Linked DNA regions of Bombyx mori. The main gene of each other region encodes a partner of the protein of the gene in region 2 in a complex. Links are inferred from orthologs where the notes say so. Each region holds a gene or a part of one and is shown on either strand. Other genes may lie near its edges.

Region 1 (6,139 bases), on a different chromosome or scaffold from region 2:
TTCTTAGAAACACAATAAATGATTTTAATGTTACACTACCTTTATTAGTAGGGGCGGAAACACAACTTTTTGGAATAAAGGTAATGAACAGAATAAAAACATAAAGATAACAGCAAACATTCGACTATATTTAGTTACAATAATGGATATACAATTGGAATCCGACTCTTCAACACATACACATCGTTCTTTAACATTCTAATTATTTATTTGGTAATGTAATAAAATTATCACCCAAAATAAAGTATGTTTTAACCTACATTGCAGATAAATATAATATACTATTGAAGGTACAATATGTTCGATTTAGATTAGTACATTAAATATAGATCTTTTTCTGCTTAACTGTTAAGCCTTAACACCAAAAAAGGGAATTTCCCTATTCACATCAGCGTTTCTTTACATTTCATAATTTTCAAATTACATACATATTTCATAGGTTTCATTAACTTTTAACATATCCTAAGGCTTGTTTACATTTATAATGATAAAAATAAAATGTAACTGTTTTTCTCTTTTTTTTCTTCATTAACACCTTGAATGCCATGCGGCCCACTTAAGGGCCTAGCGTACTTACTATACCATTCAGGCCAAGCCAAAATCAGGGAATCAGTAATTTTTAACAACTAGATTTGAATTCTAAAATATATAAAATGCGATAATTTGCACGGATGGTGAAAATTAGCGAATTTTACAGGCTAGTTTTTAAGATATTTTAAAAGGCAATAAATAATCTTGATAAGAACCAACTTTCTATGGGATTTGAAAACCAAGGCGTTCGGTTTGGTTAAAGGGCCACGCGGCTCACTTTCATACGCGTTTTGTTTGATAGCTGCAATTTGTGTGTAGGAAGCGTTTACGTTGGAACCCTCGCGTGACTCCCGGGCGAGCCTCATGGCCGAACGTTTCACTACGATAAGGCTTTTTTTTATTGCTTAGATGGGTGGAAGATATAGGCAGGACGATGGTACATACCAGTGCAGACTCACAAGACGTGCTATCACCAGTAAAAGGCTCACCGGTGAGCATCATGGCCTGAATGAAAATAGTCGATTTTTCATGTGGCGTTCAACATGTTAACGAAAAAGCAATATAAAAGATTCATGAGTATGAGCACAAAAATATCACGTCTTCATGTTGCCATTCAGGCAACTGACGCCAATACTAAATGATTTTCAATTGTTTATAGATGGTAAATATGATACTATAGTTACATTTGTTCCTGTTCTTTACTATTATTTTAATACCAAATGCTAGCTACAAACAGGCTCCCATGCCTTTGACAATATCTATATATTGCTATAAAGATGGCAATGGAAGCAAACATGATCATCACGATTTTATCCCATTGCATTATACAGAATTTGTTTCAGGCACTGTATGTAATGCATCCACCATGTGTAATCCTAAACGTGTGATTATGACCGACACCTCTGCAAGGGTTATGAATGAACTTTGGTTGTGACTGAATGAATAGTGTCACAGACTCACTAGATCAAACTTGTTTAGCAGTTGTGATGCAATTGAAGAATTGAATATTTTCAAAATATTAAACATTCTCAGTGCAATGTCTTTATATTTGCACATAATAAATAATATGCCTATAAACAAGCCTGCTGATAACGAATTTCTTAATTAAGAGCAGAACAGATCATTCTTGCCTGTTAAAATTAATGTCACGAATTCAACTCTTGAATGGCAATTTTCTCCTAATGGCTAGCTATTATCGGAATATTGTTACATCATCCCAACAGTTCAGATCAATTTTGCAAACTACTTCAACTTGTATAATATAATCGAATTTGATAAACTGCAGCATTTGATCAAATTTTTCTTTAATAACTGGCCTATACATTACCATTAATAATTTTTTCATACATAGATATATTTATTTTTTAACAACATCATTTTTGAGGAATGCAATAAGAAGACTTCATAATTCATAATTATAACATTTTTCTCTGAATTGTTAAACTTCTATTCCTATTTAACCATTTATCACTTAAATAAAGCTCACATTTAAATTTTAGTAAAAACCATGAAATAAGTCACTTTCACAATCTTTCTTTTCTAAGCTGTTATTGCAAATGTTTTGTGCATGGTTTTTTGTACATTATTGCAATGAAATCACACGATCCTTAACCCATTTATTAGACCTTAGACCAATACTGTAAGTCGACATTCATTGTGATGATGAAAATAATTCAAAATGTCTGCATCTGGACTTGTTTAACAATTGCAATTAAGACCAAAAATTTAATTAGTTAAGAATTCAAGTATACTACAGTAATCTGCAACAGAATAACAAGTTACAACATATGTACACTTGGTACCTTAGAGTTATTTTCATGATATACTATACTACTTTGGAATAATCAATTTTAATTAGTATGACATGATGACCCATTTGTAGTTTAAACATTAAACTCACTGCTCTTAAATTACTCAATAATATAAATAATAATGTTGTAATGTTAATAATTATGTTGCTCTCCAATTCTAACAAACCCAAAAGTCTTCAACTAATTTTTTTTTTTCTTGGCTCTTAGCCATAATTGTATGATTTAGAGTTACAATCATAATTTACAACACAAACGTAATCTCAAGAGGTAATAAAATAAATTATCCCTCTAAAATTTTTAAATTTTAGGAAACAAACTTCCAGACAAACATAAAAGGAAATTTCTTAAGGAAAAGATGATGATTCAATATTTGTTTGAACTTTTAATTCGATGGGTCAGGATAATTCTTCAAGCCTTTGCTAAAATTGGTTTTAGTATTTGTGGCTAGTTGCCACTCTCTTAGTGACAGGTTACAGATTAATCAGAGATACAATTATATTTTATAATCCCTAAAAGCTATATCAAACCTCATATAATTTTTTTAAATAGTACATAGCATTCAGCAACTATCAACAATACTACAATAGTTATGGCCATTTTTGTTAACAGTTAATCATAATAATATACTGTTCAAAAATTACAACAACTGTTAGTTTTTGCCGCAGTCTTATAAAATGCTTTACTGTGCATCGACAGGCTGTCTGACTTAGCAACCAAATCATCTAACTTCTCACCTCTCTCAAGTACAGCTTTTATTGTATCATGTAAAATAATTTTCGTTTCATCCAGATCATTTTGAATTTTCGTCAATGCATCAGCTTCTTTGGGATTTTGGTATTTTTCTAAATGTAAAGCCAATGATGGAAAATCAATTGTTGATTCTTTACCCGTAGCCCAAGTGCTTGATGGAACTGCAGCTGTAAACTCATCAAGAGTTTTAGTGATCAAAGTGTGTGCTACTCTGTTAGGATACTCGTGATCGGATATCAATACTCCAGCTAAATTATCTGCACGCACATACACTTGCAACATATACTCTCCTTCCTTAACTGATTGCCTTGATGCTGGATGTGTCCTCTCTACCATAGTTTTACTAACAAAAGTCATAAATTCTTGCACTGAACTTCTTTGAAAATAACTAAAACTCCGAAGATCATAAGCACCTTTCAGAATGGATGCATTATTAATCCCTTTGTACAATACAAGTAGTGCATAAACTTTCACCATTTTTGTTAGATAATTTTTATCGCTCGGTCTCTGAAAATTAAAACAGTTTTAATACAGAAAAACTACAAAAATAATGAAAAGTCTGAATTTTAAGAAATATATTAGAAGAATTCAAAATAAAAGAAAAAATATATTACCCAAGATTCAATAGCTCGTCGTTTAATTCGTCGTAAATGAGCCTTCTGAATGAATTTTACGTTTGTACAATCTTGGACGTGCTACAATATTAGATTACCCGAAATCAGACAAAAGTCTTAAAATTATTTTAATACATTTGTAAGATAATTTTTCTTCGTGAAATCGTAAAAAGTGATTTTTTACTATTTGGCCTTGGTTATTTGTCATAAATGTCTTAATGCCTACGTCATGAGAATATCTCTTTCACAGATTATTAAGAATTTTTTTAAGGGATTTTATGACCTGGTAACTAAGACCTAAGGGAGCTCATATAGAGTCCCTTCTTTATTTCGCCGTAGTCGTGTTTTATGTAATTAACACCACAGTTGAAACAATATAAATTTTATTGTTGTAGCGGCATAAACAATTCTAAGTAATTATATTACATTAGTTATTAAACACATTATAAATTATTTGTCGTTTTAAATATTTGGCGGTAAAAAGGTCCCGTGTCACAGACTATATTCTTTTTCCCACATCTCGTGCGTTCCGGCTTACGCATCATAAAAATGTGCGTTCATTAACGCCAGAGACCTTTAAGTCATGTTTTATTTTAATTTATTTTCTTATTTATATGAAAAATGATGAAATGAAATGAAGATTATTAATTCGAGACATTAATCAACTGGTATGAAATCAAATGAAATGAGATGAGATGATATGGGATGAAATATAATCTTAATAAAATGGTGGTCATCTACTGAGACTTTTTGGAGGATCCCGAGAAGTGACGTCCAGCAGCTTTGTTTCATTTTCCCACATTAGTGCACTTTCTTTTTTGTATTTTAACTACTTATTAATTCCTATCACATAGGTAAACGAAATATAGCTCCAACTTTTCTCCAAAAAACCGAAACCATGAATTACTACCAATACCAAGGTATGCACGCAACACTCTCAACACTGACAACACTGAAAGTGATTTGACAATTTATGAAATTTAAGGCCGCACAGGCAGAATAGCTAAGTTAATTAAGTAAATAATTCAGTTCAATTGATTGAAGTATCTCTATCTTGAAAAGACTATTTGCAGTGAAAGCTAATTAAGTAATACGACTGCAAAATGTCAAATATAAACTTACAATGTCTCTTAGGAATACAGTGCAACGACTTTGTTATGATAGCAGCCGATCAGAGCAACAGCCACAGCATTATGATCATGAAAGACGGTGAGTTTGCAAATTTGTAACAGAATCCTCTGTATTTTCAGATCAAATTAGTTTTATAAATAAAAACAGATCTAAAAACGGTTCAAGTAAACTTGTTAGGTTGCTTTTTGGCATTTTATTTGTACTAATGGAATCTAACTTCTAATACCAATTTTTCAAATAAACTATACTATATAATCAAAGTTTTTATTCTATTTTACAGATGAAGAAAAGATCTATAAGATATCTGATAGATTAGTAATGGGTGTCATTGGTGACTCAGGAGACACAAATCAATTTGCTGAATATATTGCAAAAAATATTCAGTTGTATAAAATGCGTAATGGGTATGAATTGGGGCCCTCAGCTGCAGCCAGTTTCACACGTCGTAATCTCGCAGAGTATCTTAGGAGCAGTGTAAGTTGTGTTTTTATTTCTATTATGATTGATTCATGACAGTTATTATTTTTCGGAGAGCTGAAGACTCAGTGGTATGAATTGAGATCTGTGTCGAGCAGTGGACGATTGTGCGTTGATGATGACGATGAACATTCTCCACAAAAAATCTTGATTCTTAATCAATTATTGTACCTATAGAATTAACTATTAGTTGAAAATTTTTGTACTGTTGAGAAGTTTCAATATTTATTCTAAAAAATTACAGACTCCCTACTTTGTAAATGTGCTCATGGGTGGTTATGATAAAGAAAATGGACCTGAACTGTATTTTATGGACTATTTAGCATCAAGCGTGAAGGTACCATTTGCAGCTCATGGTTATGGTGGATATCTAAGTTTGAGTATTATGGATCGTTACCATAAAAAAGGTTAGTAGTTAATAATATTTGTTTATATTTCAACATCTGTAAAAATATTTTATAAATTTAATAATGTATTAATCAAGTGGCAACTCAAAATAAAAACATTATTCATTTCAGATGCTACAGAAACAGAGGCATATGACATCCTTAAGAAGTGTGTTCAAGAAGTTCACAAAAGATTGTTTGTTAGTCTCCCCAATTTCCAAGTGACTGTTGTAAACCGTGATGGGATTAAAGTGCTGCCCACCATTAATTCTGCATCTCTTCAATAATTTTCACTTTTTTGTATGGAAAATAAACTTTTAAATGAATAAATTTTATGAGTAAGATGACTAGTGATCAAATTCATTTAACATCATAATATTATTCATACTGCAAGCTGGTATATCTTTGATGGTTGTTTTTTCTAACTGGTAATTACTAT
Region 2 (5,810 bases):
ACATTGACACATAACTATGCCTCCACTGCGCAATATTCTTCACAAACCTCATTTGAAGGTTGCCATCTCTCATGAAGTCTGCCATAGCACTCATTAAAGGCAGAACAATCGGAATAAACACGACCTCATATTGTCACAAAACATTCGTTACTCTAGGAAAAAAACATATTTTCGCTGCCCTTATTTGACGGGTTAAATCGACCATGCCAGGGTAAATTTTCAGAGATATAACGTTTTTTCGTTTTTTTTCCTTTCTAATTTTTATTTTTTATTTTTTTTTCGATTTTTTTATTTATATGTGTTGACGAGCTCACAGCCCACCTGGTGTTAAGTGGTTCCTGGAGCCCATAGATATCTACAACATAAACGCGCCACCCACCTTGAGATATAAGGTTTAAGGTCTCAGTATGGTTACAACGGCTGCCCCGCCCTTCAAACCGAAACGCATTACTGCTTCACGGCAGAAATAGACAGGACGGTGGTACCTACCCGCGCGAACTCACAAGAGGTCCTACCACCAGTAATTACGCAAATTATAATTTTGCAGGTTTGATTTTTATTACACGATGTCATTCCTTCACCGTGGAAGACAATCGTGAACATTTCTCAAGTACGTATTTATTCATTAGAAAAATTGGTACCCGCCTGCGGGATTCGAACACCGTTGCATCGCTACATACGTATGTAACGGACGTCTTATCCTTTAAGTCACGACGACTTAAAATTAATGCGATTTAGTTCCTAATTTAGTTCTTAATTTGGAAGGCAAAGCCAAGTTGGCGTCCAAAATCTTCGGATTCCTCAACAGAGCAAAGTGGTACTTCACGCCTGGACAAAGACTTTTGCTTTATAAAGCACAAGTCCGGCATCCCATTTCTGGGTCGGGGCTCCCAAATACCAGCTTCTTCCATTTGACTCCACACAGAAGAGAGCCTTTCGGATTGTCGAGACTCCCTTTCTCACAGATCGTTTGGAACCTCTGGGTCTGCGGAGGGACTTCGTTTCCCTCTCTATTTTGTACCGTATGCTCCATCTGCGGAATTGTTTGAAATAATACCTTCATCTCGTTTTTACCATCGCACCGCCCGCCTCCGGAGTAGAGTTCATCCATACTACCTGCAGCCACTGCGTTCATCCACAGTGCGTTTTTTGCGATCTTTTTTGCCACGTACCATCCGGCTTTGGAATGAGCTCCCCTCCACGGTGTTTCCCGAGCGCTATGACATACCCTTCTTCAAACGAGGCTTGTAAAAAGTACTTAACGGTAGGCAGCGGCTTGGCTCTGCAATTGGCATTCCTGAAGTCCATGGGCGACGGTAACCACTCACCACCGGGTGGGCCGCCTCGTCGGCCTATAAAAAAAAATTATAATAATCCAAAGTCCCAAATCAAATGCGCTTTGTAAGAAACAACATAAAACTACTCGGAGTATTTCTAAATTAGGACCATGACCAATATAAAGCGGATTGTGCGTCCACACGAGTATGTCCTGCCTATTTCTGCCGCGAAAGACATACGTTTCGTTTAATAGGAAGTAGCCATTTGATCCGAACCATTGGAGCCGTTATTTGAGTCTAATCAAGACTAAATCCATATTAATATCTCAAGGTGAGTGGGAGAGAGGAAGCTTGTCCAATGTTAAAAAAATCGGCATCATTTTAATTAAAATGTCTTTTAATATTGTGGTATACTTTTATAACATTATCTTATTTGATTAGATCATACAAAATCCTGTTTCAAAACTAGAATTACAATTTTCAAAAAAAATACCTGCAATTACAAATGTAAAAAGATTCCAAGCATTCAGCCTATAGCCTTGCTTGCTTGCCTAACTTGACTCCAGTTTAAGTACGGCATTTGTAATTGTTTAAACATAAATTCACACAAGAAACACAGAACTATTCATATAACAATATTTAATCCTTCAACAAATTTCAAGTATTTTTCATGTCTTTCTGCAAATTTATCTGAATCACTGTTTCTTTCTGCAATGAACTTTCTTTCATGCGAGATGAGCACTTTAAATATAGCACTAGAATAAACATGATTACAATCATATCTTACTATCTTCACTTGCTTTTGCCTTAAATCATTAGAATTACATTTCTTACAATTGTCTTTGACTAGAGCCCCATTCTGCTTCTTCAATCCGAAATATTCATACATGGAAATGATCAACTCATGAACGATGTACCGTCTATGGTACCATAGTGACTCATGCCACTTATAGAACTGTATCAATTCACTATTTAAAACTAATTCACGGAAAAGTACTTCAAATTTTCTACATAGATAAACATTATTATGTTTACAGTTACAATTTCTAGTATTTGAAAGGAGCAAATTTATTAACTTTTCTTCAGAGTACTCCATTAAATTATCGTCTGCGTTCAGTAAAGTCATATCATTCTGTAAAGCTTTTAACAAAACATTAACAAAACATTTACGTAAATCAATTTCAATGCTGTTTTGAAACATTTTCCAGAATACATCATTCAAATGTAAGATAACATTTTTTATGCAATATTGTCTATAGTGAAAACAACTAAAATCTGAAACATGTTTTGATGTCCATCTTTCCGAGAAATTATATTCTTTGATGTACAAGAGGTCCAAGCTAAAATTTGTAATTTTCTTTAATGTATTAAGCAGCCACATACGATGGTTCCAACTGTGATAATTATTAGGACTTTTATCCGAGGCAATTTGACAGAGATGAAACTCCTCATTAACAAGATTCTGGATATAGTTTGATTGGAGGTTTTCATCTGAAAATGAAGGCAATTCTTTAGTGTAGTTAGAAATAATACTTGTATTTTAAATTCAATATATTAAATTCAATGTGTCATAATTGTTTCTTTTATCTCTTTTCTGATTAAATTTATTTATTACAATCAAGAACTAGACATTTTATATCCATTTTACCTATTTTCTTATAATGTATTTATGTTTCAGCTATTATATTGCTATAATGGAAGATGAAAAATATCCAATTAAGCTAGAGTAAATCAATAAATATTATTGGAGTCAAGTATGATCTCAGAATGAACAAAAACAGGCTGAGATAACAATTAATTAAGCAATTCATAATTTCTTGTGTTTATGCCACGGACAGACAATGTACTGCCTAGTGTGCACTGTATCTTTTGTAATCTAATTTATAACTACGAGCTTTAACGTTCTGAAACATTAGTGTTTTAGGAAATTTAATAATTCAGTATCTACTAATTCATTTATTCACTATACCTTGTAATATAGCCTCGAGTAACCATCGTCTATACCCAAACGCCTCATTACATTTGGGTTTCCTTGACAATACTAATCTAGTCAATTTCAACTCTGAACTTTTTTCTAATAAATTTCTGAGTACCATATCACGCCTTTTGTTCCATAATGTATTAAGTTCTGGGTTCAGTAAAAGTGTTACACTCAATAATCGACCTAGTTTTTCCGAATGTATAGAGCCGAGTGTGCTGTTTCGACGTTTAGTTTTGCAGAAATATTTATCCATTAATTCTGAGTAGCAATACATGTACACATGCTTAACACACCACGACTCCAGCCCTAAGCAATTTTCTAAGTGAAGAACCGGAGTTTTATTGCGAAAATTACTATCCACTGGAACTATGTCGAAAGCGTACCTGAAAATATTTTACGTTTTAATATATTTAAATAAATTCCGATTATCTTTGAATTTGTGCCAAATATATTTACAACTCAGCGTTTTTCGATAAAACATTTTCAATATCTTTTATTATTTTTTCAACCAGCGCGAATTTATCCTCCTCCATTATTAATGCACACAATAACACGTAATTGAATTAATTGAATATGAATAAATACATAGGTAGGTATTGAAATATACAAATCGTTTTTTACTAGTTCATTGAAAGTTTAAACTCAAAACATCACATATGGGTATTATCTGTGCATGACGATCACAGCACAGACCTATCAGAAATTCGAAAACATTGTCAATGAGAAGGCTTACTGAATTTGGCCCCTCATTTTTGATTTTCGGTTTTATTTTTATTTTTAATTATTTGTTTGTCGTTTATTCGTTAATGTTCGAATGTAAAAATTGTTTGTTCGTTTTATTTATAATTAATTAAACAAATGATCATCCTTAAGTTGGCCCCTCATACTAGATATCTTTATTTTTATTGCTCAGATTAATTAATTTTGATTTATTATCGTTTGTTCGACGACTATTGGTGATTGTTCGCTCATAAAAATAATTAAATTCTCAATTATTAATTATTTTATATCTAATAAGCAAACAATCACCTCACGCCTACATTGCGCATGCGCCGATTTTCAGTCAACTGGCAAAATCGTATTTAATAGCGTTTTGTTAACAAGTGCATTTATACTGTCTAATATTTCTTATGTAGATCAAAAAAATATTGAAAACTTCAACAATACTTCAACAAAAATATGTCAGTGAAGACGGTCAATTAGTCGTTAAAGTATGATTAGCGCGGTCTTAATAAATTCAGTTATTTTTAATGATATTGAATATTAACAAGCATCAGTGGCGTACCTAGGGGGGGGCGGTGGGTGCGGTCCGCACCGGGCGGCACTTACCCTGGGGCGGCATTTTAGCATTTACTTTTAGTTGTTTAAAACAATTTATTCATTTCATATTTATTTTCTTTCTTGAATAATAAATGATTATTATGATTATTATAAGTTTAATATTTGATTTATATAAATTATGATTAACTATATGATTTCGAATATTATTCATCGGTGTATATAAATGCATATTAGTGTAAATTTTGAATGCTAATTCAAGAACAAGGTAATAATTTGATTTTATTGTATTAATAAAAATTCTTTGAATTCGTAAAAGTATCTTTTCGATTTTGTTCGGCAATTTTTCCTAACTAAAATTTTTTAATATCAGTTTATAAATGTCATTTCGTTTGAAAAGTTTATATGATTACTTTGAAGTAATATATCAATATTTTTTTATTCATCGATTTTTCTTTTGAAAAACAGGGCCGGCGGAAGGTGCTCTGCTAGGTCTGCAAGGCATTAGGGCGCCGGCATAAGAACTATCTTTTTCAAACAACAAAATCTAAACGAGATAAAACTAAAATACTGACGAAGTTACAATTTCAGAACTCGCAAATAGATAAATATTCTCAGTCCGTTTTGAAGAATTGTATTTGGATTGATAAATTGCTTAAAAACCATTTTGTTCATTAGCGATTCAATCTTTTAACAGTGAAGAGTGAAACAAATTATTAGGGTGCAAGTGCATTTGGGGAATTTATAATTGTTAAGCATATTGTATTACGTATTGTAGATATAGATGTTATTCAGCGAAGTAAAATAGCTTTGCCGTTTTCTATAAATAATATACTATTTATTTCGGCAAGTTATATTTTTATTATATATCCCTAGGATGAAACGAGTAAAAGAAAGCGGTGCGTCATTTAGAAAGAAAAGAAAGAAAAGGGAGGAAATACAGATTAAAAACACTGGAGCACTACTCAAATACATCTCTCATAAGCCAACTTCTAGTTCTTTTAGTATTGTTGCCTTAAAAACGGGTGAAGAAGCAGCGCTCGAAGGCGAAAAAACATTATCCAATGTTGTTCAAGAGGAAAGACCTGCTTCACACACTGGCGAAGAAGTAGAAAGTTTATCAAGTCCTGATGAAGAATCTGCTGCACAAATTATTCTGTCTGTTTCTATGAAAGATATTGGATTATGGCCTAACAAAATTGACGACAATACAAGAGTAATTCTGGTACATCAAGGTCCCTTTTTAATTCAAAATTTAGACGCCGACTTCAGCG

The links. Proteins that work in one complex are often made in the same cells at the same time.
Region 1: the proteins of protein prenyltransferase alpha subunit repeat-containing protein 1 (region 2) and synaptobrevin homolog YKT6 are in contact, whole or in part, in a crystal structure (PDB 6J7F), measured with the Homo sapiens proteins. The link is inferred for Bombyx mori from reciprocal best matches to the Homo sapiens genes PTAR1 and YKT6. Residues at the interface, in NP_001093136.1 of Homo sapiens: Glu31, Gly33, Leu34, Ile35, Pro36, Val48, Val50, Glu51, Lys53, Leu54, Gly55, Ser58, Lys135, Tyr191, His225, Ser228, Met229, His230, Val231, Ser232, Asp233, Phe298, Asp301, Leu302, Ser305, Tyr306, His309; in NP_006546.1 of Homo sapiens: Met1, Ser29, Phe30, Phe31, Asn83, Glu84, Pro86, Gln131, Asn132, Pro133, Arg134, Gln180, Phe184, Arg189, Ser193.

Annotation. Positions count from the first base shown.
Region 1 is NC_085124.1:7,754,986-7,761,124, reverse strand, and holds synaptobrevin homolog YKT6, read right to left. Parts: upstream 3,942-6,139; 5' UTR 3,707-3,941; intron 3,600-3,706; 5' UTR 3,570-3,599; coding exon 2,973-3,569; 3' UTR 108-2,972; downstream 1-107. Other genes in the region: proteasome subunit beta type-2, read left to right, coding at 4,810-4,915, 5,118-5,311, 5,559-5,721, 5,833-5,987. UniProt on the Homo sapiens protein: Vesicular soluble NSF attachment protein receptor (v-SNARE) mediating vesicle docking and fusion to a specific acceptor cellular compartment. Functions in endoplasmic reticulum to Golgi transport; as part of a SNARE complex composed of GOSR1, GOSR2 and STX5.
Region 2 is NC_085127.1:9,750,933-9,756,742, reverse strand, and holds protein prenyltransferase alpha subunit repeat-containing protein 1, read right to left. Parts: upstream 3,934-5,810; 5' UTR 3,792-3,933; coding exon 3,715-3,791; intron 3,642-3,714; coding exon 3,247-3,641; intron 2,769-3,246; coding exon 1,903-2,768; 3' UTR 1,657-1,902; downstream 1-1,656.